Neurospora crassa OR74A: one gene and its partners. The protein of the gene in region 2 interacts with the protein of the main gene of each other region in a biochemical or structural test. Links are inferred from orthologs where the notes say so. Each region holds a gene or a part of one and is shown on either strand. Other genes may lie near its edges.

Region 1 (3,684 bases), on a different chromosome or scaffold from region 2:
AAGGACGGTCTGGAACCCCTGGTTTCAGCGACGAAGCTTCTTCCCCGCATTCTTGTCGTACTACCTACCCTACCTACCCATACCTATGGTACCGACCTCTATGAAGGCATGCAGAAAGTTGCATAACCTTTTGCTCCTTGCCCGGCGCAAAGTAAGCAATCTGATCACTGAACCCTCCAAACTGTGAATGCTCTCTGGGAACACGGTCGGTTTACTGTGAGGTGACGTCCGAGCATGTCAGGCAACATCTTTCAACATGACAATCGAGCCCAGTCCTGATTAGAATCTAATCAATGGGCTGAGAATAGGAACAACATTGAAAAAATGAAGAGAAAAATCAGCAAGTTGTGAAACTGATGCGAAGCTATCGGTTAGCTTGCCCGATGGGAGTTCGGCCAGTTCCAGAACTGTCGGGCCATATCAGGCCACCCGGCGCGAACCGGTGGTCGTGGTGCTGACACATCCTTGCTTACCGAGAGTTACAGTGAATGCCGTCAATGGCTTGGCACGCCGCCTCCGGAACCAGCCGATCGGTACCATTAAGCCCCCCTTTTAAGGGGACCGTTGCTCTGCGCAACGGATTCCTAAACATCAACACAACAACAGACACATTGGCCGTCTACGCTGACCCAACTTCACTAGCATTAAGTAGTTCCTCTTTTCTATTCATCGCCATTATATAAGCATCGGCGCCCGCTGCCTGCCAAATAAGATGCGGACTCGCTCCTGTACACAAATAACTACGCTTAAGATCCACCAGGTCCTCCGAGCAGAGCGAACCTGCGCACGATGCTGGGTCCATATTCTTGGTACTGTAAAGATCCGTCAGCAACCAGACTGCCAATGGTAAAAGGGTAAAGAAACATACCTCTGCCTTGGTGTGGCAGTACGACCGGAACTCGGGCGTCTGACCGAGCAAGCTACCACCAAACCACGGGCCGTGCCGTTGCCTTTTGTGGGTGATAACCTGGACATCAAGACCACCGCTCTTTGCTCCACCGCTGCGCACCTCGCTGGCCTTGATTCGCGTATCGACAAGCTGCTTGATATCGCGCTGTAGCCTGCGACCAAAGTCCTTGTAGAGCGTGCTGCCACCCGAAAGAACAATGTTCTTGTAGAGACCACGACGGACATCGATGGGCGAAGACTGAATGACACCATCAACAACCACGGGCAGGGGCGTAAGGAAATCGGACGAGTAAATCTCGGGGTTGAAGAAGATTTCGGGCGCCATGAAACGCTCGTAGCCAACATCAACCGTAACTTGGCGGCCACCGGGCTGGGTAATGGTGTGCTTCAGGAATCGGCTGCGATCGCGGTCGTACTTGGCAAACTCCTTGACAATATCCGGACAGACGTAGCAGTACTCCTCCTTGATCTCCTGGGCCGTCTTGAGGGACGAATCGGGCTCGCCGCGGTCACGGAGAAGCGACTGGACAAAGTAGGTGATATCGCGACCGGCAATAGGGATCGACTTGATGGACGAGCCGATAACGTAACCTTCGGCGACCGGGATAACGTGTGTCACACCATCACCCGAATCAATGACAGTACCGGTCAAGGATCTGTCCTGGACCTTGGATGATGTCCAGGAAGCCGCAAGGGCCAGAACGGCCTGGACGGCAATGTAGAGACCGGCGCAGTTGAAGGATTCGAAGAAGATCTCGGCGGTGTTTTCGCGGTTCTCGGGAGGGTTGAGAGGCTGAATCGACGTGTCAGTGCTGCAGACGTAGTACTGATGTGGCTTGGAAAGTGTAGTCTTACGGGCTCAGTGAGGAGGAAGTGGTGGTCCTCAGGCTCTACTCTCAGATACTTGAAGATGGAGTTGGACCAGAACCTTTCCATGTGATCCTAAGCTCCAGTTAGCTCTAGGCATTTGTGACATGCCATCTAGCAGCCTGAACGCACCCAGTTCTCGATCTGTCCGTGTCTGATGGGATAGTGCAACCCGTAGCCTAACACCGTCAGCACCCATTTCCGTTGAGGCGGTGTAGACCAACGTACCAGGTCCATTGGCGGCCGCTACGGCCTCGTCGCCGATAAAGTAGTCGAGGTCTTCGGTTCCGCGCTTTGCTGAGAGATGGCCACCTGGACCCGCGCCGCCGGTGAGGAAGGATGGCTTGTTGGCTACGGCGGGGCGGCCAGAGCCCGAGCCGCCGGTGCCTGCCGAGGGGCTTTTGGTCGCGATGGCCGTCGGGAATACGAACGAGGGGGAATCATTGCCGGCGAAACCTGCAGACGACGAAGAGCTTGGTCAATCGGTGGTCATTGGATATCTTGGGGTGTCGGAGTCGCGAACCTAGCTTGGAGAACCCCGTGCCGCTGGTTAGGGGATGTTAGCGATGACGGCCCCGGAGCTGTTAAGGAGCGGGCGGGGTGGAGACGGGACACTTGGATGCACGTACTTGTCCATGACAACGGCGGGGGTTGTGTTGGCCATTGTTGCGGTGGTGTGCTGCTACGCGCAGCTCGTGATGATTGCGGTTTGGTAAAGCAACGGCTGTTGTTAGTTGGTGATGGATGAAGTGACGGGGCGGGAGCGTGGATGGGTAGTGGATAGGCCAGGCGGGAAATGGAGGTTGATGTCCAAGATTGTACGTGCCTGGCCGAGCTAGCTCTCCTTACTCGTCTGGCTGACAGCGCTGCGTGGTACTGTGGAGGTACCTGTGCGGCTGTGCGCCAAGACCGCGAGGTCCCCGTATGGTACGGCGGTCCATTTAGTCAGTTGTGCATTTCCAGCGACGGGACCTACGCCATAACTGGAGATGACGGAACCAAACACCTCGCTGCCACCTGCGCGCCATCCGAGCCCCCCGAAACCTAACCGATGCCCCGGTCCCAAGCATCGGAGTTTGAAGCACACGGCCCGGGCCCGGACGATGATGGCTAGGAAAAAGTGGGGCCGATCGGTATCAAAACTGTAGCGACAAGGCCAGCCAGACAGGATGTGTCCTTCTAAGAAGGAAGGAGATACTGAATGGAAAATCACCTCCAGCCAGATTCCCTCACACCTGCCATTTCTGTCGGATTCATTTCAGCTTCATCCTCTCGAAGCAAGTCCACTTTGCGGAGAAGCTACACACACTCACAGCTTCTCACTTATCACAACGAATCATCAACCTGTCCAGTGTCCACATTCCGTTTCGTCTCTCTCTCCGTCTCTCTCTCTCTGTCGTATTCTGTATTTTGCCACCTTTGCCTTCACACATCTTCATCCCGCCCACCTACTGTATCCAAAGGGACTCTTCACCCCTCGGGCCACCCTGAGTGCATCATCTAGCTCATTGGGCATCGCTCCAATCTCAAATACCCCTCAAGACATTATCACTACCGAGCATTATTCCCATTCATTGTTTTAGCAGGTTGCTTTTACGAGGGACACCAAGTCCGACCACCCTTTTCATCTCATCCACCCGTTCCGATCTTCTCCAACTCTTCGCCCTTGCCTCGATAAGTCTTTTCGCCCATCTTTGTCCCAAGGCACAAAAGTCACCCATGACACACCAAAACTAAGGACTCTATGTGCCCTCAGAATACAGACTCGCTTGAAAGACACATGCTCGATTACCAGACAACTCGACCTCGCCAGATCACACGCTGCTTCGACTATCTCCTCGAGTCGTTCTATCACAGCTGCGCCCACGATGAGCAGCAAAAATGCCGAGCCCGGCCATGGGTCACCTG
Region 2 (3,749 bases):
CCTTCTCCTTTCTCTTCTGCAACGCCAACGCCAACGCATCCGCCATTCCACCACCGCCACCCGGCGCAGCTCCAGCGGGCGGCAATCCACTGCTTGCGGGCCCACTATCGGAGCCACCAGGAACAGCAGCACCGGAACGATCGCGAATCTGGCTTCTGTCTACCTTCTTCAACGCCCTGATACCTCCCGCGGTCTTGATGCCGTCCAACACGGCCGAACGACTGCCGTCAACAGGTGGCAAGGCAGGGGCGGGCGGTGGAGGCATACCACCTGGAGGAGGGGGAGGAGGAGGGGGAGGGACACCACCCATACCACCCGGTGGAGGAGGCGGAGGCGGAGGCGGTGCGCCGCCTGATGGTGCGGGCATGGGTGGCATGGGAGGCGGCGGCGGGGGAGCATGTGCTGCGGGTAGAGGGGGCGCCGGAGGTGCTGGCGGTGCCGGTGGTGGCGGAGGAGGCGCGCTGGTTGCGGGAAGGGGAGGTGGTGGAGGCGCCTGGGTGGCCGGTAAAGGCGGCGGAGGTGGCGCGTTCGAGGTCGGGAGAGGCGGTGCCTGCGGTGGTGCCGGGCTTCTAGTTGGCAACATGGGGGGCGGCCGTGAGCTCGCAGGCGGGAGGGGAGGTGCTGGTCCCGGTGCCTTGGGAGGCAGAGGAGGTTGCGCAGCTGAATTTCTCGGGGGCGGTGGCGGAGGAACAGAGCTACGGCTGGGAGGCGGCGGGGGTACACTTCGTTGGCCTGTGAATGGCGGAGGAACGCTGAACCTCTGGCTCGGGTCCTGATCTTCGAGTGGCGTCTTCGGCGGCCGGGGAGGTGGTGGAGGTCCAGGCGCAGAGGGCGTATGTCGCGGGGGATCAGAGTGGGCAAACTTGCCAGCATCGGCGATGGGAGGAGGAACAGCAAATCTCGGCGGAGGGGCCGGTTCCTGGTGGTTTTCCGTGTCGAGCTTGCCGGATCTCCTTGCTGGAGGGGGAGGCGGGGGTACTGGCCCTCTCCTAGAGGTCGATGGAGTTATCGACTCGGAGACACTGCGCGGAGCAGCAGCAGGAGGAGGTGGTGGGGGAGCTCTCATTGCGGGACCATTAGGAGGAGCGGATGGCGGCGGCGGCGGCGGCGGAGGAGTGCTCGTGTGTATACCCTGCTTCGCTTGCTCCTGTTTCAAGAACTCAATGATAAAGTCCTGGTTTTCGCGGATGAAGTCGTCGTCGAGGCCTTGGGCCTTGAGGTCGTCACCGAAGTGTTCCCTCCACAGGGGATCGAAAGCATCCAGGGTCGCAAACTCGGAAGGAGGCTTGTATCCGTTTATTCCATTAGTGCTTCCAGCTCTCATACGGCCTGCCGGTGCAGCGGCACGTGGCGACTCGGGCGGGGTGGCTGTCGGAGACGCGTGCTTATGTCCTCCAAACAGACCGCCGAAAAGACCGTGGTGCTTGTGGTGGTGTGCCTGGGATGCGCCTCCGAAAGGTGTCTTGCTGGTAGCCTTGCTGGCGTTCTTTTCCCTGTCGTTCATCTTCTTGAGGAACTGCTTGGCTTCCTTCTCGTCCACGAAGGACAAGCCAGCCAGGCATTCCTCAAGCTCGAAGGTATGGAAGAAGACACGGTCCTGGTTGTAGTTCCAAGTGTCGAAGATCTCCTGGTCCCATATCACTCCCCTGTTTCCGGGCTGTCCGATGTCAGCCAAATGGTGGCCAGCCACGCAATCGTCATTTTCACACTTACCGAGATATCAACCATCTTGATCCAATATGTGTTGCCCACGAGATCATTTGCCAGAACGACGGCACCCTGGAGGCCGGTATAGGTCCATCTGGACGGGTTGGGGTAGGCTACATAGAGCCTGGCGACGGCGACGGCGTGGATCTTGTTGGTCTGCTTGGGCACGCAGCGCTTGACCGTTTCCTTGTCGTCGTCGCTGAGGATGGACGGCATCGTGAATATATATGGGGGGTGGAAGCGTGGAAGTGGCTTGAGGTAGGTTGCGGCCTGTCGTCCCCTTTAGATCGTCCAGGGGGAGCAAAGCATGGATAGATTGGGAGTCGTTATGCGGAAATTCGGTAGAAGGACTCGGCCGGCGGGCGCAGCGCCGAGAGGTACTGTTATGAAGCTGAGTCGTCGTGCCTTGATCCGGTCGGCGGGTCGGTCGGCGAGGGGAGGGGGGCAACGTCGACCGAAGGGTGAGGTAGCAAGTCGGAAGTGGGATGTCGTATTAATGCTTTTCGGGTCGTTGGCGCTTGTTATCGACGGCCAAGTATCTTGTCGGTACAAGATAAAGTAAAGCTCCGCGCTTCCGTGGCCTTGCCGCGTAGGAATAAAAGCAGTTGACGGAAGCCTAGAAGAGACAATGGAAGTTGCCGGTTAGCTAGAGGTAGGTCTGGGTATTGGAGGCACGGATGTTTGGTGGTTGGTGGGAGGAATAAGGAAGACTCGGCCGCCCGGATGTCCAATGACTGAAAGGAGCAAAAGCAGATACTGAGTAGAAGAGACGGCGGCAGGCTGGGAATAACGTACCTCGGACAATGATCCAGCAGCCTTCAGTTGGCAAGCTTAGTTATAATCTGCCGTGAAAATTCAATGTATTAAAGCTGTACAGACTACAGAGAGAGGAGCAAGTCCCATTGCAAGGTAGACAAGAAGGAAGTTGAATTGCGGGTGTACCTGGCAAGAGGTTCCTTAGGCATGCAGTGAGTGTACACTACTTAACTACACTATGTACGGGGATTGGGAGTTGCATCACTACGGCGGCGGCAACGACCGGGCTGTTTGGCTTTGACTGAATGGAATCAGGATGGCAACGAAACCCCAGCAAGCCACAATGACCAATTTCCGACGGGAAGCGACCAACTTGTGGACATGAACCAGATAGCGTCATGACATTGTGCCGGGGGTGGATAGGGCGTCAATTGTCCGTGTCCACTAACAGTGGGTACCTATCCCTCAACTGAACCCCTCCACTATTCCCGCCCGCCGCTTGCACAGCCGACCTTTCGCTTGCCCGCCGTGATGATGGATGTCCAACGAGACGGTTCCTCCGAGAGCTGGGTGTTTGAGGGACATGTTGAAACTGGCAATGACAACAACTTCCATGTGCATTTGGAGGTTATATGGCTCAGGTTGATATAGGATGAAAGTAGTGTAGGTATGTACGAACATGGGATGACATGAAAGTACCTACCTACCTTCACATGCTAACATTGCTCCCATTTGAGACAACTTTCGAGGACCAGACCCCTCTCATTTGGGCGCAATTCCACCACCAAAGTCACTTTAGGCTCCAACAGGACTGATCCATCAGAGTAATTGTCAAAACAGTTCAATTATGTTATGTGTATGTGTGTGTATCATTCAGTCATTGCAATCATTCCATCCATTCCCCTGTTTGTCCGAGTCCATATCTTTACTTGTTGAGCGTCTCGGCCTTGGCCCTGCGCTCCTCCTTGGTGCCCTCCTCGCCGCCGATGTTCTGCGAGATGGCGGGACCGGGCATGGCCTTTGACGCCTGCTCGAACGTGGCCTTGGCACTATCAGCGAGCTTGTTGAGGGGGTTGTTGGGGTTCTTCTATTTGTTTGGCCAAAGAGTCAGTTTTCTGTTTTCTGTGATTCACACAAGGCACCAGACTAGGGAGGAAATGGTAACGTACTTGCTCGTCCTTCTGGGTGTCGTGGGGAAGAATGTTGACTTCCTTCTTGCTGAGATCGTCGCCGCCGGCCATTGTGATGGTCTTGATGTTATGACTTGTCTTGATGGTTCGTGAGGA
Region 3 (3,749 bases), about 8.6 Mb from region 2:
GCTGTTTCTTCTTCTAACCAGACAACGAAGTAGGCAGGCAGGGAAGATGGAGGCAAAGCGAGGTAAGTTGAGTTTGTTTGGATAGCTGAAAGGGACGGAGTGACGGACGGCTGATTACTTATGGTAAACTGCTTTTGAAGCTGAAGGTCTGGATGAGGAGCGAAAGGATATGGAATAAATAATCGACAGGGACAAAACAATGGTAGGTATGGACATGAATTGTGACATGCACTTCTCCTGCTGCCGGTTATTAGTTCTCTTATGATCCTTTTATGGAAGTTATCACGGCAAATCGGAATGTGTCCGGCAAGCCACAAGCGGAAGTCAATGAATTGCTTTGTATGTATTGAACCTGTATTTGTTCTTGACTGTGTGTCTGATTCACACATACATATCTTGCAAAATTGGCCGGGCGGTCATGACAAACGGATAGCTCACTGTGGAGAAGTGACATGATAAGTCTCTGTACAATGGGTGAATGGACAATCAATCACTTTGGCGGATACCGGGAAGCACGGATAGGGCAGAAATCAAAGACCGGGAAAGTTACCCGCTAAACTGACATTGATGGATCTTGACTTTGAATCTGATTCATTATCAGCCATTCACTCTTGTTCCATTAACATTAGATGTTACGCTTGCTTGCTTGGCTTTTCTGCTTCCCAATGTGTGCAGCAACCCTCTTTCATCGAGGGGAAATCTAGGTGTGCCAGATGACGACTCTGCCGTCAACACCGCTCGCTGTTGTGTCAAGTTAGCATCAATAATTCTTGAAACCACAGGTCATGTAAAAATGGGGAACACTCACAACTAAACTTGGTCACCCGTCCACCACTCTCCTCAAAGGGCCTCAACATAGTAACCGTATTCTGATGCACCGTCTTCAACATGGTATCATCCTTGCTGACCTTACCCTTCAGGTCCATCTGCTTGAACATGTTCAGCGCAGACTCCTCTCTGTCCTCGTCACCAAGACCCGGTCTTCCTCCGGCCTTGGCCTTCTCCAGCGTGCCGGCCAGCTGCCACCCCTGCTCGCCGCCTTGGAAGCGGAAAGCCTCGCAATCGTAACCCGCAGCAATGATCTCAGTCTCTCCGTTCCAGAAGAGGCTCATAAAGGGCAAAAGCTGCGTGTTGATGCTGATCACCGCCTTGGGCGGCTGCTCGGGCGCAGAGGGGTAGACGACGGTGATGGAGGAGTCATGCGCCGCAAACGCCAGAGCGTCGCCGCTCGGGCTGAAGGCAACAGAATGCACCCATCCGGCAGAGTTGTTCAGGAACTCGCCGCAGACCGTGTTGAAAGGCAATCTCTCGCCCCAGGGGCTCGGCTCGGGGCGCTGGTCGGTGCCCTTGATGAAGGCGGAAAAGACGCGGGCGTGGGCGTCGGTGGAGCCGGCAGCAAGAAGAACGCTGTTGGGGTGCCAGGCGACAGAGGTGATGGTGGATCGGATCGGCTTCTTCAGGTGCTTGGATACCCACCAGTCGTTTTCCTCCTCAAAGTAGCAGATGGCGATGACGCGGTCGCCGGAGCCGACGGCGAACTTGGCTTCCGAGGGAGACCAGCGGACGAAGGTGGCGGCGCGGGAAATACGGAGGAGCACGAGGGTGGGCTTGTAGCCGGTGGGGGAGGGTTCCCAGACGAGGGCGTTGCGGTCTGTGAGTTGGGGTTGGTTGTTAGTCTAGCTGACTGTGATGGTGGCATTATGGGGTGCCTGGGTTGCGAAAGGGGGGGCCTACCCTGAGAGCAGGTCACAATACGCCCGGTGTTGGGAGCAATGTCGACGCTGGTGACAAGCTTGTCATGGCCCTTGAGCTCATCCTTGAGCTTGAAGGCATTGCCGACTCTGCCGTAGAGCTCGACCTGGGTGTCGCGGGCAATGGCCAAGGTCTGGCGATCGGCCGAGAAGGAGTGGTCGGCGATGGGGTGGTGGAAGAGATGGTGGACCTCGGGAGCAGCCATTGTGGGTTGTTAGGTTGGTGTTGTGTAGAAATAAGGTATGCGATAGGAGTATAGCTCTCTACTACCGCGCTCGGAATCGGGGACGGTGATGACGGAGAGTGTGATCGAATGTCTTGGTTCGGTGGTGTCGGAGCCGGATGTTGTAATTGGAAAGGGGAAGCTGTGCCCGGGAACGGGAAGCGGGAGAGCTCCGTAACTACAGCGGGCTGGACGCCTGAAATGAGGTCAGACCGCCAGGCTCCAGGGGCACCGTTGCGGCAGCGTATGGTGGTGGGGTTGGCTGCGGGTGGGTGACGCCGCCAAGAGTGCCCTGCTGCCGGCCGGGGCTGACCCACCTGGAACTGGAACCTACTATGGTGAGATGGGTAAGTTAAACCCGTGGATCAGGTCGTCGACCACACAGTGCTCACGAAGCTCTGGCTGTGGTGGTCCGTGCAAGATACCTGACAAGGGGGTTTTACTTTTGCTCGCAACCGCAGTACCTCCAACAAGCTGCACCCACGCCCGTGGGGTTTGTGTACCGATTTCGATGGTTCGTAGGCTGGCTGGCCACTGTCTCCAATTTTTGGACCAGCATCTGAATTGTCGACATCGCATGCGCCGCCGCGACTTGAATTCATGATTGAACACTGAACATCATACACCCGAGCGACGACGACGACGACGACGAGACAATTGACGATATTAACCCCTACCACGAGGCGCCTACGATATACTGAAAATCTACGCGACAATTAACAACCTGCATTGGACAAACAACAACAGCATCAACTCCCGGATTCCTACGCGGCAATGGCTACGCGTATTGCTCCCCCCGCGGGCCTCCCCCAAAAGGTGGTCTCGAACCCGCCAAACCAGACTCTCTACGTCACGAACCTCCCCTCAGCTAAGATCCAGAAGGACGACCTCCGTACAGCACTATACATGCTCTTCTCCACCTACGGCCCCGTCCTCGATGTCGTCGCTCTCAAGACCATGAAGATGCGCGGGCAAGCACACATTGTCTACCGGGACATTCAGACAGCAACACAGGCCATGAGGTCACTTGACGGCATGGAGTTTTTGGGCCGCAAAATGGTAGGTCTTCTCGGGTTGAATATTTCAGCGGTAGCCCTTCACATGCTAACTTGGGTTTGCCTAGAAAATCACCTACGCCAAGGGCCGCTCCAACATCATCGCCAAACTCGACGGTACTCTCGTGCCACCCAAGGCCGCCGCCGCCGTGGCCCTCACCACCGTCCAACAGAGTATCTTTAGTGCCCCAGTACCAGGCGCCCCTACTACGAATACCGAGAGTCCAGCACCACAAGGTTCGCCAGCCAAGCCTCCCGGGACGGAGACAACCACACCGGCAGAGGAGAACCGGGGAACGAAGCGGCCACGGGAGGAGGAGGAAGAAGAGGAGGAGAGCGATTCGGACGTTGCTATGGAGGAAGACAGCGACGAGGACTGATGGGTGTCCACTATGGCATTTGCTTCTTGTTTAAGATACCAGCTCGCGGTGGGGAAGGATGACGAAAAATGAAGGCGCAATGAAGCGGATGGATGAAAAATTCGCCCTCTCGAAGGACAATGCAGAAGACGCACCGCTAGCTGCATGTACAACATACACCGCGCTACTCCCACTTCCTCTAGGCGGAGGAAGGCTCCAAGGCCATTTCCTTGGGGACCCAAAGGCTGACACAGCCGCCGACGAGTCCAAGCCAAACCATCAGGTAGTTCTCGATCGAGACATTGTCAAAGGTCGACATGGCCTCGCCGAGGAGACAAGGGTGGACGAAGAAGGTGGGAA

Evidence for each region.
Region 1: the proteins of NCU07438 (region 2) and arp-3 form a complex in vitro, tested with the Saccharomyces cerevisiae proteins (4 studies listed by BioGRID, with this or other methods). The link is inferred for Neurospora crassa OR74A from reciprocal best matches to the Saccharomyces cerevisiae genes LAS17 and ARP3.
Region 3: the proteins of NCU07438 (region 2) and NCU02781 form a complex in vitro, tested with the Saccharomyces cerevisiae proteins (2 studies listed by BioGRID). The link is inferred for Neurospora crassa OR74A from reciprocal best matches to the Saccharomyces cerevisiae genes LAS17 and ARC40.

Annotation. Positions count from the first base shown.
Region 1 is NC_026502.1:2,534,975-2,538,658, reverse strand, and holds arp-3 (actin), read right to left. Parts: upstream 2,633-3,684; 5' UTR 2,441-2,632; coding exon 2,406-2,440; intron 2,323-2,405; coding exon 2,300-2,322; intron 2,233-2,299; coding exon 2,005-2,232; intron 1,956-2,004; coding exon 1,909-1,955; intron 1,852-1,908; coding exon 1,765-1,851; intron 1,703-1,764; coding exon 869-1,702; intron 813-868; coding exon 747-812; 3' UTR 585-746; downstream 1-584. Other genes in the region: NCU01757 (asparaginase), read left to right, coding at 3,645-3,684. UniProt on the Saccharomyces cerevisiae protein: Functions as ATP-binding component of the Arp2/3 complex which is involved in regulation of actin polymerization and together with an activating nucleation-promoting factor (NPF) mediates the formation of branched actin networks.
Region 2 is NC_026501.1:625,327-629,075, reverse strand, and holds the start of NCU07438 (WASP-like protein las17p), read right to left. Parts: upstream 2,725-3,749; 5' UTR 2,503-2,724; intron 2,324-2,502; 5' UTR 1,924-2,323; coding exon 1,714-1,923; intron 1,658-1,713; coding exon 1-1,657. Other genes in the region: NCU07439 (hypothetical protein), read right to left, coding at 3,389-3,550, 3,633-3,704.
Region 3 is NC_026501.1:9,216,128-9,219,876, forward strand, and holds NCU02781 (hypothetical protein), read right to left. Parts: upstream 2,182-3,749; 5' UTR 1,958-2,181; coding exon 1,735-1,957; intron 1,652-1,734; coding exon 809-1,651; intron 742-808; coding exon 701-741; 3' UTR 410-700; downstream 1-409. Other genes in the region: NCU02780 (U2 small nuclear ribonucleoprotein B), read left to right, coding at 2,750-3,034, 3,099-3,410; NCU02779 (hypothetical protein), read right to left, coding at 3,589-3,749. UniProt on the Saccharomyces cerevisiae protein: Functions as a component of the Arp2/3 complex which is involved in regulation of actin polymerization and together with an activating nucleation-promoting factor (NPF) mediates the formation of branched actin networks.